2 linked regions of the Notamacropus eugenii genome follow. The protein of the gene in region 2 purifies or fractionates together with the protein of the main gene of each other region. This does not show direct contact. Links are inferred from orthologs where the notes say so. Each region holds a gene or a part of one and is shown on either strand. Other genes may lie near its edges. The genes, in order: IQGAP1 and MYL6.

The links.
Region 1: the proteins of MYL6 (region 2) and IQGAP1 purify together in Homo sapiens (affinity purification with mass spectrometry; 4 studies listed by BioGRID and IntAct, counting the BioPlex papers as one, with this or other methods). This does not show direct contact. The link is inferred for Notamacropus eugenii from reciprocal best matches to the Homo sapiens genes MYL6 and IQGAP1.

Annotation. Positions count from the first base shown.
Region 1 is NC_092872.1:249,255,703-249,272,503, reverse strand, and holds the start of IQGAP1 (ras GTPase-activating-like protein IQGAP1), read right to left. Parts: upstream 7,403-16,801; 5' UTR 7,164-7,402; coding exon 7,109-7,163; intron 5,499-7,108; coding exon 5,399-5,498; intron 1-5,398. UniProt on the Homo sapiens protein: Plays a crucial role in regulating the dynamics and assembly of the actin cytoskeleton.
Region 2 is NC_092874.1:231,420,436-231,436,438, reverse strand, and holds MYL6 (myosin light polypeptide 6), read right to left. Parts: upstream 6,080-16,003; 5' UTR 5,227-6,079; coding exon 5,224-5,226; intron 4,700-5,223; coding exon 4,672-4,699; intron 4,635-4,671; exon of another isoform or gene 4,461-4,634; intron 3,785-4,460; coding exon 3,641-3,784; intron 3,195-3,640; coding exon 3,021-3,194; intron 2,923-3,020; coding exon 2,845-2,922; intron 2,416-2,844; coding exon 2,387-2,415; 3' UTR 2,370-2,386; intron 1,601-2,369; coding exon of another isoform or gene 1,572-1,600; 3' UTR 1,387-1,571; downstream 1-1,386. Other genes in the region: MYL6B (myosin light chain 6B), read right to left, coding at 6,746-6,774, 6,938-7,015, 7,716-7,889, 8,772-8,915, 9,173-9,200, 10,072-10,248. UniProt on the Homo sapiens protein: Regulatory light chain of myosin. Does not bind calcium.

The sequences.
Region 1 (16,801 bases), on a different chromosome or scaffold from region 2:
AATAGCTGTTTCCTCCTCTGTGAAACTGAGGGAATAAATAAATGTAGAGCTTCCCTCACAGAGCTGGTATGAGTCTCAAATGAGACCTTGTATATAGAAACCACACTGAAAACTTCTAACAGCTTTAAAAGTTTTGGTTATCATCAAGCTAGAAAGTGTTTAACCTGGAAGAAATTAATCAGTTCTTCACAGGAAGGTTGAGCAAAGTGTGCTAAAAGGGCTTTTTAACACAAAACTCTAAAATTCTCACTTTTTTATTTCAATAGTATAACCTCATGGACAAAAATCAATGAAACTATACAGCAATTTGATGGCTCTGACAGCAAGATACAAACAATCCATAGTTGCACAAATCGGTAATCACTTTTTACTGCTTCTTGGTAATATAAATCAGAGATAAAATGTACAAATATGTTAGTAGTTAGGCTACTGTCAAATAGCACAAGGCAAATTATCATCAGTTTTTGGTATTAATAAAAGTACAGTGAGCTCCAAAGTTAAGAAAATTAACTTTTCTTCTTCAAAACAAACCACTAACCAAATTCTTTACTTTAAGTTTTTAAAGTTTCCTTAATTTGCATTCTGCAAAACCACAGATTCACCCTACTGGAGGGGCTTTGTAAAAGCAGAAGCCACAGTGAAGGGCCCCGATCTGGCCAGGCAAAAGCGTCATGCTGCTCTTCTCCAAGTGGCACAACCTGCAAATCAGCTACAGATATGGTTTCTAAGCAACAAAGACTCAAAACAAACGAACACCAACCATCATGAGTCACCTCCAGCCAGACTCACTTTGCGGACCAACTCTATCTGGCATAAACACTTCCTGTCAGGGAGTTCAGGAAGCAGCCTCAACTTGAAACAATTAGGAATTTGTCAAAGGTCAGACACAACAGGTACATCACCAAACCGAACGAGGTACCAGTACCCAAAAAACACCCCATCTTAGAGAAGCAGGAATCAAACAGGAAAGACAATAAAATTCTACAAGGGAAAACCGAAGTACTCTCAACAACAGCTCTGATAAACACATTTATATCCTTATCTTAAAGAACCACAGCCTACTGGAGAAAAACGAATCAACAGTGCAGATTTTCAAAGAAACACAAATCCAATTCCTAGTCAAGTGTCTGGGCCTTATCAGTGCACTAGAAATATCATAGAATTCTAGGTCAAACCTAGTATAGGCACATTAGATATGGGATGTTAACATCTCATATATCCCAAAGCCTATTAAATACAACCCACCTCTCTACCCTTACCCACTCCAAAGCTACTCCAGAGTCATCAAGCTGCCTTGGGTTGTCTGTGTCACCTCATGACTAATACATGGGAACTATCTCCTCCTTCCTTCTCCCTCAAGTAGATGAAGCATATATCCTTTTCCCCTGTGTTTAATGAGGGTCTAAGTAAGTTACAGGATCTTGTGTGTATGTTGGTCTCTCTTTCTCATTCACATACACACATACCCCATACCCCGACTCCTTTCTTCTTTCTCTCTTCCCCAGTTACCCTAGGAAAAATCTCTCCCTCTCTTTGTTCCATTTACAAAATAAGTGATCACCGCTACCAGACATAAGAAAAGTGGTAGTAATATGCCTCCACTATAGGAAAGATAGTTTTAACATTTTAAATTTTTATTGATAACCTTTGACTTTATAACATCCTCATCTCAGAAGATATCCCTTTCCCCTCCCCTAAAAAGTGAGGTATCCCTTGTAACAAAGAACAGAAAAGAAAAAATGCTACAGAAAAACTAAACAACACATTAACAGAGTCTGACATCAAAGTATAATGCTGCCTCATTATCCACCTTCTCTGGGGGGGAAAAGGAATGAAGAAAGAAGGGACAGAGGGAGGGAGGAAGGAAAAGAGAGAAGGAAGGAAATTTTCTCTTCTGCATAATCATAATAAATACAAGAATTCAGTTTCATTTGTTTTGGTTCTTGCTATACTGGAGATATGCTTCCATAATGCTGTTTACTTCACTCTGCCTCAGTTCACATAAGCCTTCTTGCAAAAAAAGTCGTAAATTTTAAATTAAATTTGAGGGTAATGAACGTGGAGTAAAAAAGCCTTGTTTTGAAACCTTGTTTTAAGAGCTTGACACTTGAACAAATCACTTTACCTCTCCAGGCCTCAGTTTTTCCCCTTGTAAAATAACGGTGTTAGACTACATGTTCTCCAAAGTACCTCCCACCACTATACCTTATTTTATGTTCCTACGACACCAAACCCTCACAATCAACCTATAAACACCTTTGAATACCCAGAAATGCCCTTTGGATTCTCTATAAAAACTTCTATCTACCTCCTAACTGTCCTCTAATTAACCCTGCTTTTCTTTAACCACCAGTATGCAAGGTAAGTAAAATTCTATGATTTAACTTCCACCAAAGTTGATTCCAATCCCTCCATTCCTTGACAGATAGCTTCACAAGTTGTTACAACAATGACAAAAAAATTCCGTATCGATGGCCAGTATTCTGAGTTGAATCTCTCCAAACTTAACTCGGCTGGTTCTTAGATGACAGTCTGTCACTAGACCCACATTAAAATCCTTTCCAGACAGATAGGCTCTGCCAGAGCATGTACCTCACTGGCTTTACCTTTGAGAACCCACGGTCACCTCCAGTCATGATGAGGCATGGAAACAAGCCTTTAGTAGAATTACTAGTATTGCAATAAATAAAATTTTTTACTACTGTCTACTGAAAAACTATTTCAGCTATACTGAATTAAACAGGCTTTTTTGAACTAGCTTGGGAACCTAACCACCTGGGGACCCAAACAGTGGCTCTCAGCTATGTGACTTTGGGTAGGTAATGGAACTCCTTAAAGCTTCAGTCTCTTCATCTGTAAAATAGGGATAATGGTATTTGTTCAGCCTCCCTCACCCAGATGTTGTAAGAATTAAGATAACTGTAAAATGCCTTGTAATTATCAAGAATGACACAACATTTAATAACTCTTATTAAAAACACTGTTTCTACAGCAAATGAACTTGAAGCTTCTATTTGCAGGTAAGAGCAATCTATACCGGCTCTGACCAGCCAGGGCACCAAGATACGTTTTCACAGGAGAAGACGGCAGCCTCTCTCAGTGACACCAGCCTACAAGGTTAGAAATCTGTTCCTATGCTTCTCCTTCATTGCCATGAACAGACGAACTTATGGAAACGCTTCTGGGCCTGGCTATATTTTCAGCCTGCATCCCAGTCCCAACTGTGTCATTAACCTGAGAGTTTTCTTGGGCAAGTACTTCATCTCTCTGATCCCCAATTTCCTCCAAGATGAAATTAAGAGATTGTGGATCAGATTACCTCAAAGGTCACTTCCAGCTTTATAAGCCTATACCTGGGTCACTTACTCCCTACTGTGTAAAGAAGCCTCTCCTACTCCAAATGTTATGGGACACTCACCACTTCTGATAGTATACAAACGAATGAGTTAGTTTATTTTACCCATACCTTCATGGTATCACAGACTTCAATCTTTAAGTAATTTAACTCTTATTTTCATGGAGCCTGACTTCGATGACCACCACCGTAAGCCATCTTACAAACTTCCACTTGAAGATTTCTAGATGTTACTATAGATTCATTCAAGAAGACAGGATACTCAGAGACCACAGGCCCTCCAAAAATTAGTCCTAGAGAGACCCTGCTTTTCTCAGATCTGCAAAACTCAGTGTCTCACAAAGCAGTTCCTAGTTCTGGGTAGGGGCTGGACCACCAAGTAAGAATGAAAAAAACTCTGTCCTTGGTGCTGCCTAGCAGGTCTACCTGGACTTCTCTCCCAAGTATGAACACAACTGTTTTGGGAAAGCCCAACTGTGCTAATGTTACTCCTCTACACAAAAACCTTAAATAGTTTTCCCTTGCTTACAAAATGAAATCAACAATCCTGATCAAGTACTTTCACAATCTGAGTTCAACCTGCTCATCCTGCCTCTCTCCTCTTCCAACCAAAGGAGACTATTATTCTCCATTCTTCTCTAGCCACCTCCAGTCTTCATGGCTTTGCTCATGCTTTCCCCTATGCACCAAAAAGATTCCCTGGAGCATTTCCACATTCTAAAATTCCTCTCTTCAATGCTCAATTCAGCTACTGCCTCACCAACTCCATATCCACTGAAGTAAAGGTGATTTCATCCTCCTCAAATTTCTCATAGCACTGTGAATTTACCTTACTTTCCCTTACAACAATTATTTGTGTGGCTCTCCTTCCCCACTTCGATTTTAAGTCTGAAAGAGGGGTTAAGTCATAATCTGTTTTGGCATCCCCTGTGCCCTGCAAATAATACAGCCTTAGTGAATGGATGGATTTATGCACAAAAGAGAATTTGTTCATAAGCAGTGATAGCTTCCAGAATGAGGTGACTGCTTATAGGTAAGCATTAGGAAACATTTTTATAACAGCTTTGTAAAATAGCTCAATTTGAAAGGAGTAAACCTCTGAAGGACCACACATAAGAGCGACTTCATAGAAAAAGGTCCACCTCAGCAAAGAATTGGAAATTGAGGAGATGCCCATCAATTTGTGAATGTCTCAATTAGTTGTGATATATGAATGTAAAGGAATATTATTGTACTATAAATAATGATAAGCAGGCTGATTTCAGAAAAACCTGGAAAGATTTATATAAACTAATGCTGAGTGAAGCGAGCAGAACCAGGAGAATGTTGTACATAGTAACAGCAATATTGTGTGAAGATCAACTAACTGTGAATAACTTAGTTTTTCTCAGCAATACAATGATACAACACAATTCCAAAAGACTCATGATAGAAAATGCCATCCACATCCAGAGAAAGAACTATGGAGTCTGAATGCAGATTGAAGCATATTATTTTAATGTCTTTTTCTTTCTTGTGGTTTTCCCCTTTTGTTCTGATTCTTCTTTTAGAACATGACTAATGTGGAAATATGTTTAATATGATTGCACAGGAATAACCTATATCAGATTGCTTGCTGTCTTGGGGAAAGGGGAATGGAGATAGAAAAAATTTAGAATTCAAAATCTTATAAAAGTTTACACTAAAAACTAAAAAAAAAGACAGAAAAAAGAAGAAAAAGGGCTACCTCTTATGCTAAAAGTTCAAGACCGGATAGAAAAGAAAATGTTCTGAAGGGAATAAAGTATGGTTAAGCATTGAAAAGCACAGATCTCAGAGGGAGGAGACTTGGAATATAGCCCTAATTCTGCCCTTAACTAGTTATCTAGATGTCCTGTAAGGGGTGGGAGCCTGAACTAAATGATTTTCCAAGTTCCTTCAAATTAGCCCTAAGCTCATTTGCCCTCACTACAAACCTAAGCTCCCACGGACACAAGTACCAAAGAGAAATTCACACAAACCAAGATCCTTGTCTCCATTTATTGCCAACCACCTTTTCCTTACCTCTTTGCTTCCTCTAGGTGACAAAGGTACTCATAAGCCACATTCTGATGTCTCCTCTCATCCATCTCCTCTGCAGTGAGCCTTTCATTATCCAAGACAGCTACAAAATAAGAGAAATTATATAAATATGGAAATCTGTAGCTTACATCTATAGAGATGTAAGAAAGCCAGATCAGTTGATCCTGACTCAGTTTGGTAACTTCCCACTCCCCTTGGCAACAAGTGTTGCCAGGTATAATATAATGACCTTATTCTTGCAAGGACTTTGGGCCCCACCTATATTATTTTTATCAAAACGTAGTAACATAAGCATATATCTGACTTTGCATCTTACTGTTGTTAATGAAACAAGCTAATCTATAAGAACCTTATTTCCAGTGCATAACTTGAAACTAAAACCCCTACATCATCAAAGGGCAGGGCCTCTTTCAGGAGGAAAAAAAAGGGAACTGGGCTGGGTCTCCCTTTTCCCTGGTAGAACAGATGTAACAATGTCCAAAACCCTAAGAAAGCAGAATTACTTGACAGATTGAATAAGGAAGCAAGTTCCTTCCCTTCCCCTTCATTACTTTCAAGATCCTGGTAAAAAGAAAACTATAGCCCTGAAAGGCTCAGGACACTTCAGAACAAAGCTTGGATCTATGAGAGCTTTGAGAAGGCAATCTCCCCACTTTGCAGAAAGGAGGGGAGGGAAACTATGGTGCAGAACACTGCATATAACATAAAACTCTTCATATATTGGCTGGTTTTGCTGAACTGATTTTTTTCCCCTGGCTTTGTTATTTTTTGATTGAAGTGATGGCCCTCAGAAGGAGAGAGGGGACATAAATCAATAACATTTTATCTTTCCTAAAGACCTAGAACACAGAATAGAGACAGCTCCTGTGATCTAGAGATCGTCTGCTCCAATTCTCTCATTTTAGAAAAAAAGGGAAACAGAGGCCTAAGTAAAACTGACTTGCCCAACTGGGGTTCCACAGTTAGCAGAAGTGGGTTAGAGCCCTGGGTCTCCTGATTCCAAGAGTGCCCCATTCCTTCACCACACCAAGATGCCCCGTCTCTAAACTCCACGCGGCCAGAGCTCTTTTCCACTCAACAAAACGTGCCTCCCATAAATTCTCAATTCTCCCTCATGTTTATTTGTATTTTTGGTGTTAGGGACTCCTACGTCGGTGTGGGGAGCCTGTGGACACCCTTCTTCAAATTGCTTTTAAATGTATAAAATACGTGAGATGACAAAGGAAATAAATGCACTGAAACATTTAGCAAGATGGTTTAAAAAAGGTAAGTTCACGGGCCCCCCAGTCCGGGACTGGCAGGGAGCGCTCTTCGGAGCCGCCCAGCGCGGGACACGGGGCTGCGCTGCCGAGCGGGCCTCCTCAGCCTCAGTTTCCTCCACCGGAGGATGGGTGTTTCCTCCGGGGGGTCCGAGGGGCTGGGGGCCATCCACACCCTCACCACCCCCGCCAACCCCCTCCCCGAGCCCGGCCAGCCCGGCTCCAGCTGACAGACAGAAGTGCCAGGACGGCCAGCTCCCGGCGTGATCGGGGAGGGGGCCGAGGCCGCGGCCCCAGAGCCCGGACAACGGGCGCGCCCTGCCCTTCCGGGTCGGCGCGGCGCGGCCCCAAGGGGAACCGGAGCCACCTCCGCCTTGGGCCGGCTGGGCCTCCCCGGGCTCGCCCTCCCGGCCCCGCCCGACCCCGGACTCACAGCCATAGTGCGGCCGGACCACCGCCAGTCCGTCAACTTCGTCCGCGGCGGACATGGCTGCAAGAGCGAGACGTGCGCGGCGAAGCCTCGGAGGGAAGAGGCAGGCGGCGTAGCGCTTCCCGGGCGCGGCAGGGGCAGCGACAGCGGCGGAGGCGCGCTGGGTGTGACCGTGCCCGCGCCCGCGCCCGCGGCCCCGCCCCGAACCCGCAGCCGTAGGGGGAGGGAGGGGGAGAAGGTGGAGGCCGACGGAGGAGGCGGGGCCCGAGAAGCCCCGCCCACACCTCCCTTCCCCCGCCCTCTATGGGCTGCGGCGCTGCTTACGGCGGATGAGCCATCCCAAACTTGCTCGGCTCTGTCCGCCCACTCTCCTGGCTTTGCTTTCTCCGCCTGACTTTATGATGCCTCGGGGGCGACCCGGCCTTCCGCAACCCGCGCCTGCGCCCCCTGGGGTTGGGGGTGGGGGCTCTGGGGAGCCCGTGGTTAAATTTAAAGTGCGAGCGTTTACCCCTCGGAAATTGGCGGGCGCGGCAAATCCACCGAGCGGGGCTCGAGGCTGATGATGGAGGAAATGTTACTAATGGTGGAGAGGGGTACCGGCGTTTATGAAGCGCTCCACAAATATTACCAAATTAATTACCACCTTGGAGCTTTACGTAATGCAGAAGAAACTTCAAAGCGCACCCTCCCTACTTTTTCCGGGGAGAGACAGTGGTTAAACACTTACCGGCCCCACCCCCAGCCCTCCCCGGGGCTCCCCTGGGTCGGGGCTTCGGGTAGGCCCCGAGCTCCCCAGGCCTGAGCTCTAAGCCGCATTCCAGCTGTGCGGAGAGGGAGGGGGGAGAGCCACACCTGCCTCCGCAGCGCCCCATGACGTCATCCGCCTCACCTATTCCCCCTCCCCCTCCTCAGCCTCCTCCTCCACGCGGTGCAGTGGAGCTTTCCAAGCCTTCGCTTATTAGAGCCTCACAACGCTGTTGTTATCATCCCCATTTTTACAGAGAAGGTCACCGGGCTAAGGGGGGTCAGAGGCAGGATCTGAACTTAGGTCTCCCTCCTGACTTCATGTCAGGGATCCAGCACTATTCACCGCCCCACTCCGCCGGGTTTCCTCCTCTTAAAATAAGATGGTTCTGGATAACTTTGTAAGTTTCCTTCTAGTTCTAGGTCAGTCATCAAATGGAATGATACAAAGTGTCCCAGAAGTTTTGACGTTTAAAACTGCACTGAAACTTTCGGGATACCCCATAGACATAAAGCACTTTGCTTTATAATGTTATGTATTGTATATGGTATTGTATATTATACATAATATATATTATATACACGATGTATATTGTATATTACAATATATATTACATATATATTGTAGAGGGCTTCAGAACCATATAAAAACTAGCTATTATTATTATTATTATTCAGTGATGAAACTCATTACTCTCTCTAAAGGAATCGGGATCATAGGACCTATACTATAATATTATATATGATCAGTTAGGTGGCCCAGTGTATGGAGTGCTGCGCCTGGAATCAGAAGACTCGTCTTCCTGAATTCAAATCTGGCCCCAGACACTTGGTGTGACCCTGGGCAAGTTACTTAAATCCATTTGCCTCAGTTTCCTTATCTGTAAAATGAGCTGGAGAAGGAAGTGACAAACCAGTATCTTTGCCAAGAAACCCCAAATGGAGTCATGACCACCAAAAAAAATAGCTGAACTAAAATTATATATTATCATACATATTTAACATTAACATATGATATTTTATAATAATTAATTTTTAGTGTCATAATGTATAAAATTAATTATTGGTCATAGGATAGCAAAAACTCTTAATCTGGTCCCCATTGGATAGATTTCAGGGAATCTATAAACTTGTATGGAAGAAAAATTACATCTTTATTTTCACTCATCACTAAAATGTAATATTTCCTTCAATTATCTAAAATTATTATTCTGAGAACAGGTCCATATAAGTTTTACTAGACTGTAAAGAGGTCTTTCACACACACACACACACACACACACACACACACACACACACACACACACAGGTTTAAAACCTTGCATTTTAGTATTCAGAGCAGGAAAGAACCTGACAATTCTTACAGATGGGTGGTACTTATTGTCCTGGGACATTCTGGACCCAGAAATGTTTCTTGCGAATATTTACATAGCAAAAACCAGCAACAGCTGCAAATCAAGGCCTGTTTTGTGAATTGTCTAGACTGAAGAAAATAATGAAAGAAATCTTCATGTCAATTAAATTTAAAAGTGTTCCCTGAATATCTTTTTTACTTTGAGGAGCCAGGTGATAAAACATTTCCTAGAACACCCCAGGGTGAGTGTGCTGATAAATGTTTAGTTTAGGTCCTTTTTAACATAAAAAAATAAACTGAATTGCGACCCCTCCCCCTCTTATAGTTGTAGAACTATTAGCATGAATTGATAGAGAAAATGCTTGACAAAAGTGATTATGTATCTGGTAACACTTTTGAATAAATTTATATTTTTAATCACAATATCATCTACATGCATTTGTAAAGTAAGACAGAATTTGTTCTGCTTGATTATGAATATTTATAACAAGGGCTATTATAAAAAACTTTTTCTCCATTTGGAAGACTGGGGGTGGAAAGGGAAAGATTCATAGAGACAGTGTAGGGAAAAGAAAAGAGGGTCATGGAGGCAACTTTTAAAAAAATGCAGAAAAGAAAAACTGAATGAAGACCAGAAAGAACCACAGAAAAGCTGGAAAAGCTAAAGGTTAAATATATTATATATTTTCAAAGAAGGGCAAGCCACACAATATAATGATCATCAGCTCCATGTACCATGTTCTTATTCTGTTCCATTGTGTATATGTGTATGGAAATGCTCATTTCACTTGGTATTCAGAATATTTTTAAAAACTAAAGCCAGGTAATACATATTTGTGAGAGCCGTGGCACAGACGTAACAGGCATATAACCAGACATATTTCCTCTGAGTATTCCACAGGGATAAGATGACAGCTAACATCCCATTTATATACAGGTTTGTGTGCTCATAAAATATTTCACAGATTGTCTTTGGCAGCCTCTAACTTGCCCAGGTAGTCACCACCTGAAATGACTATTGCACACATAATGAGTGCAAGGGGGAACTGAATTTAAAATTTGGAAAATTGAATTTGTTGTTGTTCAGTCATGTTTGATTCTTTGTGGCCCTATCTGAGGATTTCTTTTTCTTCTGAGGCAAAGAGGTTTAATAATTTTTTTCAACTATATATAAAGACAATTTTTAGCATTCTTTTTTTTCATTTTGAGTTCCAAATTTTCTCCCTCCTTCCCTCACCTCCCCCCTCCTTGAAACAGTAAACAATTTGATATGTTATACATATGTAGTCATGTAAAACATATTTCCATATTAGTCATGTTGCAAAAGAAAACGTACAAAAAGAAAAAAATATATGAAAAAATGAAGAAAGTGAAAAATACTATGCTTCAATCTGCATTCAGATTCCATCAGTTCTTTCTCTGGAGGCAGATAGCATTCTTTATCATGAGTTCTTTGAAATTGTCTGGGATCATTGTATTGCTGAGAATAGCTAAGTCATTTACAGCTGATCATCATACAATATTGCTGTTACTGTATACAGTGTTCTCCTGGTTCTGCTCACTTTGCATCAGTTTGTGTTAGTCTTTCTAGTCTTTTCTGAAATCATCCTGCTTATCATTTCTTATAGCATAATAGTATTCCATTATAATCATATGCCACAACTTGTTTATCAGTTCTACAACTGATGGACATCCCCTCAATTTCCGATTCTTTGCTACCACAAAAAGAGCTGCTATATTTTTGTACAAATAGGTCCTTCCGAGCATTCATTTGGACTAGGTTTAGTCCTTGGTTTAGTGGTTTCTTGGGCCAAATGCCTCTACCTCTCAGGCCCTGGAGCAGGTCACCCAGACTATGAGTTACAGAGAAGTTTCTGACGTGTTAATGGAGAGAATTCCTACATCTGGAGTTAATGAAATCTCAAGTCTAGATTTTTAGTCTAAAATTTTTTTTTTTTAAAGTGAGAATCCATGGAAAAATCTTCTGATCATCTGGCAAAAGGATCTGAGGAACTTGTAGCACCACGAGAACATAGAGCTGCCAACTCCACCCAGCTTCCGGAGCTACTTACAGACTTCCTTCAAGTCTACAAGTGCTCCCCAGAGCATTGTTAGTTCTACAGAAACTTGAAGATTTACAGTGGTGCACACAGAGTTCTGCCAGCTATGGTGGAAACAATTTGTTTCCTGACAGTAAAGCACAATAGAATCCATAAGGGGAAGGAGATCATGTGTACTGGTGAGGTAGAGCAATCACTGGGACCCTAGAAAAGAACCTTCCTGAGCAAAAAAGGTTTGTGCCAGGGTCTGATCAGAGATCAAAGAAAACACTGAACAGGGTCAAGCTATTTCCATTGGACAAAATCTTGTAAGCATCTACAATGAGAAAGACACTATGAGGATACAAGGAAAGACTACTGAGGATACAAAGTCAAATATGAAAGTCTCTATCTTCAAGAACTTTATGTGCTAAGAAATCTTAGGATTCTAAGAGACGGAAGTAAAGACAGAGTGCATTACAGAGGGGAAAGGCTGTGCAAAGGTGGAAGAGAAAACCTTGAGTTCAGAGTAGAGCAAATATGTTAGTTTAGCTAGAGCCTAGGGTCAAGACTGAGAAGAGAGGAAAGTGAGACCGACCACAGGTAGGGGTTGATGAAGTAGAAGAACAGGAAAGGATGGAAGGACTGGAAGTCATCGGTAAAGACAAAGAGCTTCAGGAGTGAGGCAAAGGTAGAAATGGAAGGACAGGAGACTGCAATCACCAAGTGTGGAGTACTGGTGAGATAACATATGTAAAGTAGCTTGCAAACCTTAAATCCTATGTAAATGTTAGCTATTCTAGTGAGGTAAAAAGTGTGAGTGGATTAGACAGAGTGGAGATAGAGGTCACTGAAGATGAAGAGGTTGATGAAGAGACATGTATGTCAAAGTTACAAAGGATAAGGACGAGTTAGGATAAAAGAAGACTAGGTACTTGAGCAAAGGGTGATAAGCTGGTAGATGATCACAATGAAGATTGAGCAGAGTGATAAGGATAGATGAAGGAAACCTCATAGGAAGAGAAATTGCTGAGTGAAGACATCAGAGGAATGAATGAATGAATGAATGAATGAATGAATGAATGAATGAATGAAAAAGCATTTATCAAGTTTTGACTTACTATATGTAAAGCATTGTACTAAGCGCTGGAGATTCAAGTAGAAAAGCAAGACAGTATCTGTCCTTGAGGATCACACATCCTATTGGAGGGAGAAGACACATAGGGGGTTTCAGCTGCAGGTAAGATAGAAAATATCATTGAACAGAAGCAAAACAGATGAGACTGCATCTTCTTCCATGTTATTTCCATTGAATAAATTATACATTTTTGACATTGCACAATTTGACAGAGCCAAGGACTCTGGTGAGAGAACTTTCTTTTCAGTGTATTAGTAGCTGTGGCTACTAAGGAGGAAGAGCTTTGGCATCAGCACCTGAAGAGAGAATTGACAAGTTGCATCTCCGCTAGGTTTGTTCCCCTGGATAATGGCTGCAGGGACTTGACTGGTAGCAGGATTGATAGTCTGAATGGTACCATTATTTCTGAGGCTTTGGAGATTACTTGCTTATTGGTTGCAACTGGTCAGCAGTTATTATTGGTGGTAAGACGAGCAAACCTTCTCTCCAAAAGGTTCCCTTTAATGATGGCATTAAGGACCAGGCTGGAATTAGCATGGGGGGACTGAGAGACACTGCAATTCCCAGGGTTCTTCAGCTTTGCATGCTAGGCTAGTTCCACACTGATCCAAGGAAAGATGGTATTTAACATGATGGTAATGGTTCAACCAACCTGGCACATGCCCTCTCCTGTCTCTTTCTTAGGATGCTTTGCTGCTTCAGCCAAGCTGGCTTGTCTGGCCTTGGCAGAAGTTCCATTAAAAAATAAAGAGTATTCTAGTATTCCTTCCAGGCCCATTGAGGTGAGTGAGATGAAAGAAAGGTTGGCTACAAATGGAGAGAGCAACAAGGGACAGAAAAAGCTAATGACATTTTCTTTCCAGAATATGCAACCCAGAGCAGAATGTTTCTTTTCATTCTGCACACTCAGACATCATTAATGGACCAGTATAGATTTATGCCACTTCTCCTACACAAATCTTAATTGTTCATATATTGTAAACTATCCTGCTTTTTGGTAACTTCCCATTTTAATTATTTAGAAACTATAGTATATCATGACTTACAGTCATACTGAATCCCTAGAAGAATATTACAGTTCTAAAGAGAGATCTCTGATTTGGGTATTTCCAAACACAATTCAATCTACTATCTTCCTCCTATTCAATTCTGGCTCTATCTGTCCAACACACACACACACACACACACGTATATAAAAGACATACACAAATGGACTAATTCTGTTGGCCATACATCATGAGAGAGAAATATGAGATAAGTTGGTTGATGTCATGAGAGTAATAACCAATGTACAACCTGCATGGTCTCATACTATAAAAACAGTGTCAAAAGATTTAGAGGAATGATCCCAGAACATGGACAGTTTACTAGAGGATGCAGATAAAAGGTACCCAGAATGAGTATTGGATGGGCAGTGATTTACACTGTTGAAAGATGAGATCCCAAATCTATGAAGGTTTTGAGGGAAAGTTTGAAGACAGCACTAGCTTTTTGCCCACATATCTTTCTCCTTCCCTCTCCATCTCCAGCCTTCCTCCTCCTCAACCTTTCCCTTTATCTTTCTCTCTTACTCCCTCCCTCCCTCAATCTCTCCCTCTGTTTCTCACTGTCTCTCTTCTCTCCCTCCCTTTCTCTCTCTTCTCTCTTGCTTCTCTTTTTCTCCTCTCTCTCTCATCCCTTTCTCTCTCCTCTCTTCTTTCTTACCTCTCTCTCCTCTCCACTCATCTTCTCTCTCTTTCTCTTCCTTCAGAGAGAGAGACAGAGACAGAGACCAGAGACTTGTAAACTACACAGAAATCTCTTAAGGATGTAACTCTGCATTGGAATCTGGCCCAGTCAAAGGGTTACCACAGAGATTTAGCCACTTCTTCAGGATTCTGTCTGCCACTGAGTTCATTAAGTATGTGAAGGCTTCTGAGATTGTTCACAAGTTGAGAGAGAAGGAGAGAGAGGGAGAGAGAGGTAGGGAGGGCAGAGAGAGGGAGAGAGGGAGGGAGAGAGGGAGGGAGGGAGGGAGGGAAGGAGGGAGAGAGAGAGGTAGGGAGGGAGAGAGAGAGAGAGAGAGAGAGAGAGAGAGAGAGAGAGAGAGAGAGAGAGAGAGAGAGAGAGAGAGAGAGAGGAAGAGAGAGAGGGAGAGAGAGAGAGAGAGAGAAGGAAACTGTGACCCAGAGGTAGAAAGTTAGGTCGCCTCCATCTTGAGACTATGTGGACTTTTTCAGAGTCAAACATTCAACATAGGATTTCCTCTTGTCTCTCTCTTTCAAAGACTGTGAAAGAAGTAAATATTGCTAACCCAGTGCCAACCAGCCCAGTTAACAGCATAGCTGAAATAGGCAGGAATGATTGTGGCTGCTGAGCACAGCAAACCAGCCTGGGTACTGCCCTAAAGACAAATTTCTCTTCCTACAGCTCTGAGCCATAAAGAAGGCAGCCACTCTTAGTTGCCACACTCTTCCTGAATTTATGCTTCTCTTCTTCTCTCTGGGTGGAATAAGTTAATGCAGGAAAGCCCTGGTTCCTGTGGCAGCCGACAGTGTCTACTCAACATATGTCCACAATAGTTCCCTTTTCCCCACTGCAATTTTTGTCTATTTCTTTGCCACTGTTTACTTTAATGATACATGAACTGTATTAGCAATTGCTAATCTTAATTTATGTGTTATTGGGTAGATGATAGAAATTTGAATTCAACATATTCTAGAATAAAGAGATATTTATCTAGCACTATTGTGGAGGCAAGCAACAAGCAGGAGATTTGCAGCTAAGCAATGGACTCTCCCTGGAAAGTCCAAACTATTATTAACTGATGGTACTATCTATGACCGTGGGCCCAAAGAGGGGAGAGCCATTAATAACTTGATGTGAATCATCTCCTCCTACTCTAGTTTCCTTGTGACCCTGAAACCTGGGGATTAGAAAAAGAGGAGTGGTTTTTATTCTGTGTCTTAAGGTGCACACTCCTGAATTTCTCTCCTCTCTTTTATCCCTTCTTCCTTATTTATTGCTACACATGGGGTTACCTAACCACAGTAACCATGTTATTCTTAGGGCACCTGTGACATGTGATCCCTACTACCATCTATATATCCTGAATACTTTTTTCAAGAAGAGAGGAGGTCCATGCTGAAAGTGGCATCTTATTGAGGGCAATGAGTTTTTGATTCTCAAGATTGCTGATAATGGAGGGAAAATAAAGTTTTGGGGTGGGGGTGAGATATCACAATTTTAGTACCTTTTTTTCTGGATTCAGATTTTTTTTAAATTTATTTTTTTGTTGTTGTTTTCAACATTCATTTCCACAATATTTTGAGTTCCAAATTTTCTCCCCATCTCTCCCCTCCCCCACCCCAAAACACTGTGCATTCTGATTACCCCTTCCCCCAATCTTCCCTCTCTTCTATCACACCCCTCCCTTCCCTTATCCCCATCTTCTCTCTTCTCTTGTAGGACAAGATAGATTTCTATACCCCATTACCTGTATTTCTTATTTCCCAGTTGCATGCAAAAACAATTCTCAACATTCATTCCTAAAACTTTGAGTTCCAGCTTCTCTCCCTTCCTCCCTCTCCACCCATGCTCACTGAGAAAGCAAGCAATTCAATATAGGCTATATATGTGTAGTTTTGCAAAAGACTTCTATAATAGTTATGCTGTGAAAGACTAACTATATTTCCCTCCATCCTATCCTGCCTCCCATTTATTCTATTCTCTCTTTTGATCTTGTCCCTCCCCTAAAGTGTTTACTTCTAATTACTCCCTCTTCACATTACCCTCCCTTCTGTCATCCCCCCATACCCCACTTATCCCTTTGTCCCCTACTTTCCTGTAATGTAAGATAAATTGTCATACCAAATTGAGTGTGCATGTTATTCCCTCTTTAAGTAAAATGTGATGAAACTAAGCTTCATTTTTTCCCCTCTCACCTCCCCACTTTTCCCCTCCATTGAAAAAATTTTTTCTTGCCTCTTTTATGAGAGATAATTTGCCCCATTCCATTTCTCCCTTTCTCCTCCCAATATATTCCTCTCTCATTTCTTAATTTTATTTTTTTAGATATCATCCCTTCCTATTAAACTCACCCTGTGCCCTCTGTCTATATACGTGTGTATGTGTGTGTGTGTGTGTGTGTGTGTGTGTGTGTGTGTATAATCCCTCCAACTACCCAAATACTGAGAAAAGTTTCAAGAGTTACAAATATTATCTCTCCATATAGGAATGTAAACAGTTCAACTTTAGTAAGTCCCTTCTGAGTTCTCTTTCTTGTTTACCTTTTCATGCTTCTCTTGATTCTTGTGTTTGAAAGTCAAATTTTCAATTCAGCTCTGGTCTTTTCATCAAGAATGCTTGAAAGTCCTCTGCGTTATTGAATGACCATTTTTTCTCCTGAAGTATTATACTCAGTTTTGTTGGGTAGATGATTC
Region 2 (16,003 bases):
ACTTTGGGAGTTTAGAGTCCTTCAGTAAATGGTAGGGCAGAGGGAACTGGAGTCTGTATCTCAAGCTCCCTAAACTTAATAAATTACTTTCCCAGAGGGAATGAAAGGTAGAGTTGGCAGAAGATGGAATGTTTTTAAAACACGAAATTTTAAAAAAGCACTTAAGCACCTCCCTTTTATGATCTCAAACCCTTTCCCCCATCAAGTCCACCAGAAACATTCATTTCCACAAATGATCATCTCTGGAACCAGGGGGTTCAGGGAGGGAAGTGGGGGTGTACAACCTAGAGCTCTTGGCTCTCTCCACTCTCCAAATTCTTCTCCTTGATTCGTCCTGGATGTAAAGACAAACCTGACTTCAACGTGCCCTCCTCCTGGAGCCAGCATCCCTCTCCACACCGTCTCCTCCCACCTGGGCCCTTTGTTCCATGTGCCCTTTTACAATGTACCCACACTTACTCTCCCTTCTGTGGCTCAGCACCTTCTGTTAAGTCTTCTGTAAATTTTCCTTTTTTTTTATAAATTAATTTGCTTTTCACTTCCACCTTGTGGTGGGTTCCTGCTGTGTTGTGTTACTTGACTTCATTAATTGGCAGAAGTGGAATGGACTGGATAGAGAATTTACTTAAAGTTTTTGTTGGAAGCTTTCCACTTTCCAAGATGAGGGTTTTGGGAGGAGAAATCGGAAGTTCTCAGAAGAGATAATAAAGGTGGGCAGAAGATATTTGGCCACCCAGGGCAGAAGATATTTGGCCTGTAGACAAAGCTACAGATCTGATTAGCTTTTCAGGGCCTGGGTAGTTTCTCAAACCAAAGTTTAATTTCCCTGAACCTTTTAGAGACTAGGGGCCTTCTGTCTTTCCCATATTAGGAGATAGGTGAACTCAGTCTTCCTTGTGCTGTGACTTGAGAATGGTTGACATAGTTGGCCCAGTTTAAATGAGGCTCATCTGCAGCTATCTATTCATTGGGGAGGTTGGTGATAACAACTGCTGGGGACAGGAATGGCAGGAGATGTGGTTTTATTTCCTTTCTCTACCTATTTGAAGGCAGCTAGCTGAGACCACCTCAGTTTCCCTGAGGTGAAGAAACCTCTAGGTCCTCAAGTGTAGCCCTTTGACCAAATCCATACTTCACAGAATAAGTCCCCTTTATAAAAGGATTTGTTCTGTAAAACTTCGACTCAGTCAAAAGGCTGCACCCAAGGATCTAGAAGGCCACATGGGGCCTCAAGGCTGCAGGTTCCCTCCTCTGCCTAAACCCTTGGCCCATCCACTCTGGCTTGATTTTGCCCCCTTGTGCCTCTCTTCCCTTAAAAAGAGAAAAAAGGCATCAATAACCTGCCTCCTCCCTGACCACCCCAAGAGAACAAGAACAAACCAGACATTAGGAGCAGAGAGCAAGTTTATTTGGTGAAAGTAGAGAGCAAACAGGCCCAAGAGGACATATGGTGGGGGTTGGAAGTAAGAAGGTTGATAACCCTGAAAATGTAGTTAGTTGCTTCAGGGGCAAGAGGATGATTTTCACACTGAGAAAGTGAAGGGGTTCTTTGTGGAAAGGGGAGTTTGTTCTCAGCCATTCAGCACCATCCGGACTAGCTCTGTGGAGAAAGAAATGGGAATGAGCTAGGGAGCAGGCAAATAGGGGAGGGCTAGCTGAGGGTGGTGGGACATCTAGACCCCTAAGGTGGCAGGAGTGGAAATATCCCCCAGAGTCCAGCCCTGGGGGTGATCATACAGGATAGAAGAGCCACCTCTGAGGTCTGACTTGGCCACATTGCCCCCAGCTTCCCTCCCAAAACCTGTTAGTCTCCATCCCACCCCTGAGCAGCAAGGACACAGCAGAGGTAGAGAAGGCGCCCCCTCCCCCCCAACTACCACCTATAGGCACTGTCAACCCATGGCAGGTAAAGGGGAGAACACAGTGGGTTTATTTTGGAGGAGGGGGAGATCACCTCCAAGCTGCCCAGCAAAAAGAAGGGTAAGGGATTCAACTGTAGCAGGAGCTGGCCAGGCAACCCTCCCCCATCGCCAAAACCCTCACCCAGGGTTATGGACAAGGGCAAGATAGTACCCTAAAGCAAGACTGTCCCAGGCCTGCTAAGTTGCCAGACACAAAGCCCAGGGCAGAATTTGAGGGGCATGTGGAGAAGGGCTAATACCCAGACAGTCTTCCTTTATGCAGCGGGACTACCCTCCCCTTCCCAATCAGACAGGTCCATGCAGACATGCTAAGAGAGAGTGAGAGGTAAGAGGCAGAGGCAGGGGACAAATAGCCAGAGAAGAGGGGGAAGGCAGGGAAGGGACCAGAAGGAGACACGGAAAGGTCAACTTGGGAGGAAAGGGAGGAGAGGCTGGGAGGAGCCGTACCCGCCCCATGGGGCCCTTCACCCCGACAGGATATGCCTCACAAACGCTGCAGGAAGGAAGAGACATTAATGGTGAAGACAAGACACAGACATAGGGTGGTGGGGTGTCACACAGGGATGTGAGGGGAGACATTCTATTCCTTAGATACTTTCCACCCCTCACACCTGGCTCTCTTCCTGCCCTGTCTTTAACCTCCCAAATCAGAGCTAAGCTCTGCCCCTTGCCTGCCTCCAAAGTGCTTTCCGAGCCATCAGCCCACCTGGAGATACAACTCCTTGCACAGAGTGGGGTGCTATTAATTCAGCTGCACTGACTTGTAAGAGAGGTTCTCCTGAAGGCAGCGGGGTTTTCTTTTTTGTCTTTATATCCTCAGCACCAAGGAGGCGCTTGATGCCAACAGACTGCTCAATGACCCTGCCTCAACTTTCCACACTGCTAAATCCTTCCCAGAAAATGCTGAACACGCCCCTCTCACCTTCATAGTTGATACAACCGTTGCTGTCCTCATGCCCTGCCACCAACACTTCTACTTCTTCCTCTGTCATCTTCTCACCTGTGGAGGGGACCAGACCTCTCAGGGAATCAATAGGGAAGGACTCCCAAGGACTAGAGGGAACCTAGAGGTCTGGATTTGGTGGAAGGAGGTCTTACCCAGGGTGATGAGGACATGTCGTATTTCAGCCCCCATGACTGTGCCATTCCCTTCCTTGTCAAACACCCGAAGCCCTTCCACATAGTCCTCATATGTGCCCTGGTCCTTATTCTTTGCCACGGTCTGCAGCATTGGTAGAAAATGTTCGAAGTCCAGCACCTTCACATTCATCTCTGTGCCAGAGAAAAAGGGGGGGGTTAACATTAGTGGCATCAGGTCAGAATGGCTATTTCCCACATTCCCTGGGCTGAGGGACTCTTGAGAAGGAAGCCACATCACCATTACATTGGCTCATTTTGGATTGTATTTTCTTTTGGGTTTTTTTTTTTTGAATCATACGTTTTCCAGTATAATACCACAACATTTCAGAACCCTCTTCTGTAACAGCAACCATAAGCCAAACAAAACAGCTGAGGTAAAACTACAAAATCAAACAGCCTAACAATCTGTCGTCTCCCACCTCAAGCAGGAAACTCATTTTGCCCTCAACAATTGCCAAAAGGAACCTTGTACAGTTTGGGCACCCCCACATACACTAAGCTCTCCATAGATAGGTTGGACAGCATTCTTAAGAGAATTCCTAAGTGCACCCCCAGTCAACCTGGGGGCCCTCTCTCACCATCACTCTTGGGATTCCCTAAGACCTTGAGCACCTCGGCATTGGTGGGGTTCTGGCCCAGAGCTCGCATCACGTCCCCACACTGGCTGTACAAGATCTTTCCATCCCCTGTTCGATCAAACAGCTGGAAAGCCTCCTTGAACTCTAGAGGGGGGACAAGAGAGGAGTGAGTGTCCGAAATGGAGGTCGATATCCCAAGTACAAGCCAGAGCTCTGGACGCATTCACTTTTGTCTGGAGAAAACATACTCCCGGGTAGGTAACACTACCAGGCTGCATCTGGTTTCACTTCTGATCAGGTTGCCCAAAGGACCCACATAATCATGTAAGCGTCCTGATCCTTGCCTGAGCTGGGGGCACCCCATCTCCCTAACACCCCTCTAGTTTCCCTCACTTCAAACTTCCCGGAGCCCCGCCTTTACTCCCGGGGGTGGAATGCGCCACCGCCCAGCCTGGGTTCCAATCCTTATAAGGAAGTAGGTGCAGCCCCGGCCTCAGGACATCCCAAAAGGGCCAGTTTTTTCGTCCCCATTCCCTAAATGGACTGGGCTTCCCGTCCATCCACGACCAGACAGCTTCTGCCGGGTCTTCGGGGGGCCCGCTCCTTCCCACTCAAATTCCCGGGCCCCCACCTTCCAGAGGCACAGTCCTCAGCCCTTCCCCCAGGTCTGGGCCAGCAACCAGGGCAGAGTGGACGGAAGTGGGTTAATGGGGAGAGAGGCAGGGGCAGGCGGCCGAACAGCCCCCCCAAAACATCACAGCGCACACGAGGGGTTAGGTAGCCCAAGGCTTCACACATCCACCCCCGAAAACAAACTCACCCAATGCCCGGGGCTCAGATCTAAAGAGAGGAGGAGGAGAAGGAGGAGGAGGACAGAGAATCGGAGAGACGGAGTGAGAGAAAAATGGAGGAAACCGGGAGGAGGAAGGAGCCGGGCACCCCGGGGTGCGGATGCCGGAGGGAGGTCCCCGCAGCCAGGAGGGCCAGCCTACGCCCCTCTCCCCCTTCGGGGCGGGTCAGGGGCCACTCACCCGCGGTCTGATCCTCCGTGAAGTCACACTGCGGCCCAACAAAGAGAGGGGAGGACAGGTCAGGAGAGGTCAGCCTCCAGGCTTCCCCCTCCCCGAGCCAGCCGCAGCTCCTCTGCAAAGGGACCCCCGCAACGCCCCGTCCGGGCGCCCCGCCACCGTCCCCCCGGAGCCAGCCTCCCCCCGGGCTCCCCGTCGGGCCGGGCCTCCCCCGGGCTCCCCTTCGGGCCGGGCCTGCCCCCGGGCTCCCCTTCGGGCCGGGCCTCCCCCCGGGCTCCCCGTCGGGCCGGGCCTCCCCCGGGCTCCCCTTCGGGCCGGGCCTCCCCCGGGCTCCCCGTCGGGCCGGGCCTCCCCCCGGGCTCCCCGTCGGGCCGGGCCTCCCCCCGGGCTCCCCGTCGGGCCGGGCCTCCCCCCGGGCTCCCCTTCGGGCCGGGCCTGCCCCCGGGCTCCCCTTCGGGCCGGGCCTCCCCCGGGCTCCCCTTCGGGCCGGGCCTGCCCCCGGGCTCCCCTTCGGGCCGGGCCTCCCCCCGGGCTCCCCGTCGGGCCGGGCCCCACCATCTTGGCCGTGCAGCGCTCGCTCCCTCGCCCGTACCGCCGCCGCTGCTCAATGTAATGGCTCCGTCTCCCTGCCCGGCTCCAATCTGCCTTAGCGCGTCCCGTGACGTCACCCTCTACAGATTTAGCCAATTGGAGGCCGGGCCTGAGGTTTATGCAGATGAGCTTCCTTAGGCCGCTCGGAGCCTCGGCCTTTCCGGACGCGCAGGGGCGGGGAGGGAGGGGGAGGAGAAAGTGGGATGAGAGCTACTCCTATTTTGGGAGTGTCATCAGAAGCCCAGGAGCTATGCGCTCTCCTTCCCCCCTGCTGAGCAGCCCGGGCTGGAGGGGCCAGTGGAAAAAGCCCTGAACTTGGCCTCGGCTTCGGGGATCTGACTGAATCTCTGGGCCCTGCGGAGGCTGGATTCAAACCCAGAGCCCCTGACGCGCTCCAGAGCCTTCACTCCCCCTCCCATAGCCGCTTCTGTGTAAACTGCGTAGCCTTGGCCAAGTCACCAGATTCTCTGGGCCTCGGTTTCTTCCTGGTCCGCGCTGGACTAGACCTCCAGTCCTTGGTCGTACCAGTCCTATGATCTACGGAGGTTAGACACCAGGAAGGACGGACCAACTTCTCCTGGAAGGTGGAGGACTGGCATATCACAGAGAAGGAAATGATGGTTTAAATGGCTGAACTAAATTAAGGTTCCATGCCTTCCCTAATGCCGCACAGTAAATGGCCCCGGAAACCAGGCTTAAATCTCAAGCACTCTTTCCACCAAACCTGGTCCAAGGACCAAGGGGGTGGGGGAGAAGCAGGGAGGGAAAGAGTAAGATGAAATCTTACACATAGGCACAAACCCCCTTCCCCTGCCCCCCAAATAACAGACCAGAAGCTGGAAGTCCATTGCTTTATTACGGAAAATCAAGAGAGGGTAGGGGGACTGACGCAGCAAGTCTGTCCGCTCCCACACGCTCCTTCTCCATTCTCAAGGCAACAAACATTTACTAAGCGCCTACTACGTGCAAGGCACCAGACTTTCATCTCCCCAGGATGCAGGAAAACCTTCTTTCTGACTGGAGAGAAGCAGGATCTGGAGAGAGAGAGTGGTGTTGGGGTGGTTTGGGTACCTAGTGCACTGCGGTCCCTCACAGCTCCCCCACCTCCTATCCCTCAGGAAAAAGAGGAGCTGCACATAAGCTCTCCCAGGGAAAGCAAAAGTCATAGAAACGGCTTCCATTTACATTCTTTACTGCTTTCCTTTAAAACACTTTCACCTACTAATAGTTGGTTCTCACAACAACCCTGAGAGACTGACAGAGTAAATGTCATTCATTTTACGGAGGAGGAAACAGGTTTATGGGAATGAAATGACACGACCATGCAAGCCCTTCATAGCAGAGATGACATCTGAACCCAAGGGCTTGAGTCCATATTCAATGATATTTCCAGGGTATCTTAATGCTTCCAAAGCCCCCAAAAGGTAGGGATGGAGCTGAGGAGATAGGGCTGGGCTGGGCTGGGGAATCACTCTACCTTGGGGCCTCAGCTTGACATAATGTGTTTCAGGAAGGCTGCCAAAGGAAGATGAAAGAGGGGGGTCAGAACCATGCACCCCTGCTCTGCCCTCCCTCCTTGGAGTATAGATGATTTCTCCACTCCCCAGGACGACTGCCTCTCCCAACTCACACACATACTCTCCAAACCTCTTACTTCCACTCCTCCCCACCCTCTCACCCTCATAGTTGATGCAACCATTGCTGTCTTCGTGTCCAGCCAGGAGGGTTTCTACCTCTTCCTCTGTCATTTTCTCTCCTATAGCAGAAGCAGATAAACTTGGAACCTATTCCCTCCCACCCCAACTTCAGCCATACTATTTAGGAGTGGTACTTCCTCATCTAGTCCCCCAAACAGAGGCATCTTAGCCTTCTCTCTCCTTTCCTTTTCCTCCTTCCTCCCCAGTCCCATGCCCCCTATTACAAATTTATCGATACCTTGCTTTTCTTCAAAATGACTTCACTCATGCTAGCAGAATACCTAGGAAGCCCAGGTTTCATTGTCTCCAGGACAAAAGATGAAAGTGACTCTCTCAAAGCCACCCAGCCAATCAGTGGCAGAAGAATTGGAGGCTGTGTCTTCTGATTCATCACTTTCCCACTACACTTCAGGTTGTCAGAACATTAAGAAATTTCCTAGGTCTTGCTCCCTGGAGTTTGGGGTCTTCCCCAATTTGGCTACTTTCCTAACTATTCTTGCTTCTTTAAATATGTCCCTTCCAGGAAATGTCATTCCTTGCCTAGACTGGACTGAAATGGCCACTTCCAATTGCCATGCCTGCCCTGCCTTCCTCTTTCCCATAACATACCTACCCTCCACAATGACCATGAAGCCCACGCCTGCACCTGGGCTGCACCTTGTTCTCTTCCCTTGTTCAGTTCCAAAAATCTGGGATCTTACCCTTTAATCTCAAGTGAACTTCTCCTCCACTCATGAGCCATCTTTTTTACAATCTTACCCAGGGTAGTGAGGACGTGTCGGAGTTCAGCCCCCATGACTGTACCATTCCCTTCCTTATCAAACACTCGAAGTCCTTCAACATAGTCTTCATATGTGCCTTGGTCCCGGCTTTTAGCCACTGATTGGAGCATGGGCAGGAAGGTCTCAAAGTCCACACGTTTGGAGTTCAGCTCTGAGGAGGGGTGGGGGGGATAGAGTGTGCTAAGTGACCCCTTCCTAGGACTCCTCTATCCAACCCTCATTACTTGGGATCTCTAGCCAGTAGATAGTTCCATTAGAACCATCCCATTTAACCCATCTGTATCATTCTAGTTCTATCTGGTTGTTTGTTGTTTGGTTTGTTTTTTTTTAGCAAATAGAATTTTACTGTACGTGCATGTAGATTGTGTTTTATGACACATTATAAATCTTTTATATACGGTATATGAATATGTCATTAAACTATATTTGGAGGAGTCACTGCTATTCTCATCTTTTAGTAATACTTTTGTCTTATCTTTTTAAGGGTCTTTTCTGGCTTCTGCCTAGTTGAACATTAATAGAAAACCTCTCCAGTATCTTTGCCAAGAAAACCCCAAATGGGGTCACAAAGAGTCAGACATGACTGGAATGGCTGAACACCCATGACAAAGTGACATTCATCAATTCATTTGAGCTAATAATTATGAACCTTAGCCAGTTCTGTCACTTTCCAGTTTGTCTGTCTGTTTTTCATTAATCCCTTACATTTTATTATCATAAACACAATCCAGTTTGAATTCAGTCAAAGGACCACACCTGAGGACCTAGAAGGCCACATGTGGCCTTGAGGCCAAAGGTTCCCCACCCCTGAATCTAGTCCAACCCCTATCTGAACCGAATTGCTTCTACAAAATCCCTACCTATGGCAAAGAACCATCCCCACCTCCAGTATTACCTGTAAGGGTACCCAGACCAGCCCCACTCAACTCACTCTTAGAGTACTTAACAACAACTTGTGAGCCCTTGGTCATCATTTCTTTTTTTGTCCTGCTACCATCCTCCCTGTTATGGCTCATAATTCCTGCAGTCTCACCATCATTCTTTGGGTGACCCAGAACCTTGAGCACCTCAGCATTGGTGGGGTTCTGGCCCAGGGCCCGCATCACATCCCCACACTGATTGTACAAGATCTTCCCATCTCCTATTCGGTCAAACAGCTGGAAGGCCTCTTTGAAGTCTGGGAATGGGGAGGGAATTGGGGTTAGCCAAAGGGTTCCCTCTATCCCCAGGTTGGAAGCAGGGCTCAGAATAGTGGACTAAGGTAGAATACAGCAGGAGGAAGAAATTCTGAGGACAGAACTAATGTGGAGGGCAGCTCTGGGGCTGTAAAAAAAAGAGAAAGAGAGAGAGAAAGACATAGGGAGACAGAAAGACAAGACTGTGACAAGGGATTTAGGATAGCAGGGTGGGGGTGGGTGGTTATGGTCTCCTCACCCTCCAGTTGGTCCTTGTTAAACTCGATCTGTGAAGGAAAAGACAGTGTGAAGAGGGGTGGGGTGCCATGAAACCCCCAGTCCAGGCCAGACCCCCTCCCCCATCCCTTATAATTGGCAGCCTCTGTGGAGTGGCCCAAAGGGACCCAGCTGAGAGCTAAGAGCGCCTGAGTCCCATTCCCAGCTCCAAGCCTTAGGAGAATACTAGCAGCGGGTATGTGGGAGGGAGACCTTCCTGGGAAACAAGGCTAATCCAGCACCACCTGTTCCCCTCCCCCTGGCTCTCCCAACCCTGCATCCCTCACATAACCGGCAGTTGAACAAAAGCTAAATTTACCCCCACACCCCCAGCTGTGATTGTCTAACAAGTCCCCCTCCCCACCCTCCCTTCTCAGAGCAGCAGGCTCTTTCCCTCTCTTTCAGCCTCTTTTCCTAGGCCCTGAAGAGTCCACCCTCTGATGGACACTGGCCCCTTCTTTCTCTCTCTTGTGAAACAGTCCCAAGGAGCTGAGCATCTCTGTTCCCAGATTCTTGTGTTCCCCACATCCCTGTTCTCCATTCAAGGTGTACAGGGGTGCCATTATATGCCACATTGACGCGGCAAGAGGGGAAAAGTGAACATGGGAACAGCAGAATTGGGGTGCCTGGCCTCAGAGCCCTGCTAACCCCATTCTATAGACTTAGTATCTGGCTTCTGGGTTTGTTATGGGAGGGGCTAAGGCAATCCTCACATCATTATAGCAGCTCCATTAGCTCCTCCCCCATTTCCCCTATCCCATCTCCATGCCCCTTTATACCATTCATCATTTCTCCAAATCCTTTCCTCCTAAAGAAGCCTCCCCATTCTCCCATCCCTGCCCCCCTCCCTTCATCTTGACCCTTGTGGGCTGAGAGACTCACCACCACTTTGGAGAGGTCAATGGGGGACTCCTGGGGTTTGGTGGGAGCTGCTGAGGCAGGGGGAGCAGCTGGTTCAGGCTTGGGCTTCCCTGGAGGGGCAACGGCTGGCTTGGCAGCAGGTTTGGGGGCAGCAGGTCCCAATGGCCTCTTCACAGGGGCGTCTTTTTTGGGAGCCATGGTGAATGATGGATGACGGGCACAAGAACAGTGCCCGGAGGGGGCACTCAGTTTAAATAGCCAGGGAGTAGTATGGGATATCAAGGGGGCGGGAGCAGAGACCAGACTGGGGTGGGGGGGGTGAGGTGGAGGAGAAAGACAAAGACAAAGTAGCCTGCCTGCCCTCTACCTCTCCTGCCTCCCTCACTCTGGGCCTCCTGCCCCAAGGTCTCTGTCTTTCTGCCCACATTTCCCAAGGCATTTTACCAAGTTACTGCCCCCTCTGAGAATAAGGGAATGGGGGTGATGGGGAACTGGGTGCCTAGATGAAAAGTCTCACCCTTGGGTGAGCAGGAATCACTCCAACAGAGAGGACCATGGTATCTCAGATTTATAGTCACAGATAGAGGAAAGGCTAAGGCAGAAGAGAACTCACACATTTCAACCCCTGCACCCCCTCTCCTCTGGGAGAAACATTTTCTCCCCCTGAAATCTTAATCTCTTGCAGACTAGGAGTGGGATGCATCTGGGAGGAGGGAAGAATTCACAGTTGAGGGTGAAGTTATGACTCACTTCCTCCCCCTCCCCAAAGTCCTTTTCAAGGATCAGGCTATTGGAAGTGGGGTATCAGTATCCATCACCCCTAATCCCAGCTGTTTACACTCCTGCCCCTACCCGGCTCCAGAACCACATATGGTAAGGAGCAAATTGGGAGGGAGGGAAATAGGATAAAGAAAGGACAGTGTGGGAGGCTGGGCTTTGTGCTCCAACACACTATCCCCTTGGCCGGCAAAGGCAGATGGAGGTCAAAGTTAACATACACTCAAGCCTTGGTATTACAGAAAAGGGTCTGGAACGACTTCTGGTGCCAAGAGGCTGTAGCAGGGTCCTGAGTCAGGAAGAAAGGCTAATTCTCCATCCCTGAGTGAACCCAAGAATGAAATCCTAATGAGCCTCCCCATTATTCATTTCTCACACACCAGTTTCAACCCTACCCTACCCTACCCCCTGACTCCAGGCTGGCCAGAACCAGACACAGGGGCAACATGGACTTCCACCCTCACCTAGGTCTGTGCTGCAGGTATTGATCCCTATGGGATCCAAGGGAGAGGGAAAGAGATGGGGAGAGTAACAAGGTTCAGTTGAAAATTCATCATGTTTTAGATAAGGAAACTAAGGTAACTCTAAAAAGTAGATGGAGAAATCCTGAAATGGTCACCTCTGAGACTATAGTTCAGAGAAGGATACCATCAAGAATCTATGTTTGAATTCCCTCAGATCTAATACTAACAGAGGTCCAAAAGGTCAAATCTCGAATTCGAGCGCAGGCTGGAATCTTCTGTATTTTTAGCATATTTTTTTTTGTGGAGGAAATAAATAGCTGTCCTATATCTATTGAGTATCTTTCCATTTCATATTTTGGGGAGACTCTAGACATGGGCCAAACCCAAGTTTTAAGAGAGTTCCCCTTAGGCTCTCGGTTTGGGGGTGGAAAGAAAGAGTGTGACAAAAAGATCATGACTCCTCTCTGAAAAAAGACCAGGCTCCCACAGGACTGAACCCAGGTCCTCCAAAGTGAGTCCACAACTGAAGTGGAAGAGTACAAGTGCCATCAAACTGGCTTACCAGTAAGTGGGGCTACACAAGGGAAAATCAGCCCAGAAAACTAAATGACTTGCTCAAGGGCACACAACTGACCAGTGTCAGAGTCAGGATTTCAGCTCATGTCTGTTACCTCCAAATTCAGTGCTTTCCACCATACCACCAAGTTTTCCCAGCTCTGTTGCCTGAGTTACTTCCCTTCTCCTAAGCGTCAGATTCTCTATTCATCAAAAGCAGATTAAAGCTAGTGCAAAGGTGAGTAAAGGGTGTAACCCAGTCTCCCACACAATAACTCTGATGGATTCAAGGAAATGATTGATTCAATCTAATCTAGTCCTAGCCACAGAGCCAAACGCCACCCTTAAATTTAAATTGCCTATGTCACTGAGTGGTTCTGATAAGACCACTTATGGGTTAATTCTGAGCCTGCCCATCCCCAAAGGATTCTGGGAGTGGTAGTCTCAGCCTATGTCTGGACCTCATGGAAAATGTAGTTCTTTTCTCTTAAAATGGTTGCTGAAAGCATAGTTGCAGACTTTCAGCATTTAAACCTTTAAACAGTTGGTCTTCACACTTTTTTGATCACCTGTCTTATGCAAAAAAATTTGAATATACCCTCATATATGTATACTTACTTATACATAATATATATCCACTGCCTTACTAATAGTCTATACATAATGAAACCTTCAAAAAGAACAGGAGTTGTTCAAGAATGAGATAAATATCAAATAACCAACTTTTTAAAAAATTATTTATGTATTATGATCATTTTAGTGAGAGTAATGTGATTGAACTTCATTTCTTTTTAAAATTTTGATCTAATAGTCAATCAACAAATACTTATTAAGCACCTACTATGTTCCAGGTCAGGTTACTGACTCCCCAGTGGCCTTGAGGCCACATGTGGCCCTCTAGGAACTCAAATAGAGCCCTTTGACTGAATCCAAGGCTAATCTCGAGGACCTAGAGGGCTACGTGTGGTCTTGAAGCCAAAGATCCCTCACTCCTGTTCCAGGTACTATGCTAAATGCTGGGGATATTAAAAAACAAAACAAAACAAAATCCAAACACAGTTCTTCCTCTTAGTAATATAGTGGTTTTCAAGGTCTGGTTCTAAATTTACTTTATCTCTTCATAATAATAGTAAATACAGATATAGCACTTTAAGGTTTGTAAAGCTTTCATACATATGGTTTTATCTTACTGAATCCTTCTAACAACTCTATGAAGTAAGTGCTAGAATGAGGAATCAAGTTTAGAGAGCTCAAGGGACTTGCCCAAGGTCACATAGCCACTAAGTGTTTGAGAAAGAGTATCAGCTTAGATCTTCTTTATTCTAGGTCCAAAAGGCTATCCGTCTCATCACTTTGCTACGTTTTTACTTGGTTACAACTGAAAAGACATTTCACAATGATACAATGATGCCAATGGAAAAAGTGTAATGTGAGTTGCTTCCTGAATCAGTGTTCATTTTTCAATACAATCCACCAATTATGTAAAGGATTGTTGTTGCTGATAATGAAATTCAACCAGTAGATTTCCATTTTCCCTAATGGGTTGGGGGAAGGACATGGTCTCTAGTGGTAAGGTTCTTATAACTCTTCCTGGTAGGGGAGAAGGGGGCAGGGGCAGGGAGAGGGCAAAAGTCTCCTATAGGGCTTCTTCATTTGCTTCCAAGCTGTATTATGGCATACAGTGGTCTCGGGGAGGGTCTTGATGGGAGAAGAACTGCAGATCCAAGACTGGTACTCCAGTGCTTGATTCCTGAGTGCACAGGCAGCTGCCACCATTGGTTATTGGTGCTACCTGCTCCTTGATCCTATACTTTCTGTGTCTGCTCCTGTGCAATCTCTCTTATGAGTAGGTGCATGTGTGCTCAGGGGTGGACTAGGGGCAGAAAGTTAAGGTGAGCAGCCAGGAGTTAACATTCTCTGAAAACATTCCCCTACCCCTAGCCTGGCTGCCTGACTATCCATTCTGTTGTTATTGCTCAGTTGTGTCCAACTCTTTTGTGAACTGTGGACCATAGCACATCAGCACTGTCCATGAGGTTTTCTTGGCAAAGATACTGGAATGGTTTGCCATTTCCTTCTCCAGTGGATTAAGGAAAATAGAGGGTCACAAAGTTTGTAAGTGTCTAAGGCCAGATATGAACTATGGTCTTCCTGACTCCAGGCCCAAGGCTCTACCCACTGAATTACCTAGCTATCCATTTTGTAGGGATACCTATTTTTGAGGAATCAGGTTCTTTCTTTGAAGCCTAGACCCCAGGGTCCTGGAGTGGTGCGTATTCAGGTCAGGAAACATATGAGGAGCCCACAGCTGCTGCTATAGCCAGGGCTAGGAAGGGAGGATAGAGATGAACTGAACCTGCTGGTAGATGTGGGTAGGACCCTGGCTGATTTTCTAGCTAAGAGTAAACTCAGCCTGCATCCAGGTGGGAAATACCTATCTGCCTACCTGCCTGCTTGCCCAGGAATGCAGATGTTTGACTGTTCCCTCCCTGGGAAAGGGAGGATGTAAAGTCCCCAAAGCCAGTAGGATCTACAAGCTCATGGCACAGCTGAGCTGCTCCTAAGTTCTGGTATTTTCTTCCCACAGCCTAGTGAGTTGTCTTCCACATACTTGAGATACCACTGACTTAAACGTTTAGTGCGCTGGCTCCCCAGGGGTCTTAATTTCCAAGGAGTATCACTACCTTACTTCCATGGTCTCCCCCAAACCCCAGCAGGGCTCCCACTTAGATTGGGTGAGTTCCCTCTAGGTTGGAGGTGAGAGAAACCTTTGAGAGGGAAAAGACTGAAGGTACTGCTAGAGGGAAGGAAGTTAGACTTCAGGAAAGACTTTCCAGAGTGGCCAGTAAAGTTGGCGCCAAGTCCCAGCCAAAAGCAGTGTCCCAGGATAGGGGCTACTACAGTTTCAGAATGAAGCTTAGTCATAGGATCAAGAGCTGGAAAGGACTTTTTTTTAGGATCATACATTCAGAGCTGAGACCATCTAAGGTCAACCTGAGGTTAGGTGACATGAGCAAGGCCACACAGCTCTATATGAGGGGATGGGAGTCTCAAATTCTTCCTTCCCTGTCCCCCACCCTCACCAAACTCTTGCCCATCTTGAGAAGTAGCTCAGGTGGAATAGTGAAAAGGGCAAAATATTTGGAATTAGAGGACACAGGTTTGAATTCCTACTTTCCCTAGCTCCCAGGCCAGTGATTTGTCTGGACAGTCTCCTCCTGTAGCACATAGCATGCTGGGCTTTAAGTCAGGAAGACCAATTTGAATCCTGCCTCATATTAGGTAACTTTGGTAACTCAGGTTCAAAACTCATTTGCATAAGACTCTCCTCATTGGCGGAGATTGATAACTCAATGTTCCACAACTGAGTGAGGAGTAGAAATGATGAGCGCCTGGGAGAAAAGAGATCTTAGTTTCTAGTTTCCAGTTTCAAGAGAGACGATGCAGACCCAGACCCTTTTCAGGTCCCCAGAGGGAAAGAAAGATTTTGGGAAAAGGTGAACAGCACCTTGATTATGTTCCTATACACAATTTACTTTATTGCAACTTTGGGGAATTTCCCACTGTGGAGTAGGTGATGTATGAGAGAGAAGGGAGAGAGAGAGAGAGAGAGAGAGAGACAGAGAGACAGAGAGAGACAGAGAGAGACAGAGAGACAGAGACAGAGACAGAGACAGAGACAGAGAGACAGAGAGAGATCTGGAACTCTTTCTTGGTTAAGCTGAGATATCTTACTCCCAATGGGAGAGCTCATTCCTCTGTATATTGTCTGGTACATATGTATACTTTCTCTGGTTTCTGTTTGTTATCTGTTTGGTTAAATGGGTTCATTCGCTATTCACTACAAGTATTCTTTGTGGAGCAGGCATTTTGTAGGAAGTAAATCAAGCCTTGGATATATAGCTTGGGGGACTCTTTATTCATTAAGAAATAAAGCTCGTCTTGAACCTAAAAATTACTTCCTCTTGACTAATCATAGGGCAGCTAAGTGGTAAAGTGGATAGAGTGCTGGTCCTGGAGTCCTCTTCCTGAGTTCAAATTTAGCCTCAGACACTTACTAGCTGTGTGACACTGGGCAAGTCACTTGACGCTGGTTGTCTTAATTCCTCAACAGTAAAATGAACTGGAGAAGGAAATGGCAAACCACTCTTGCATCC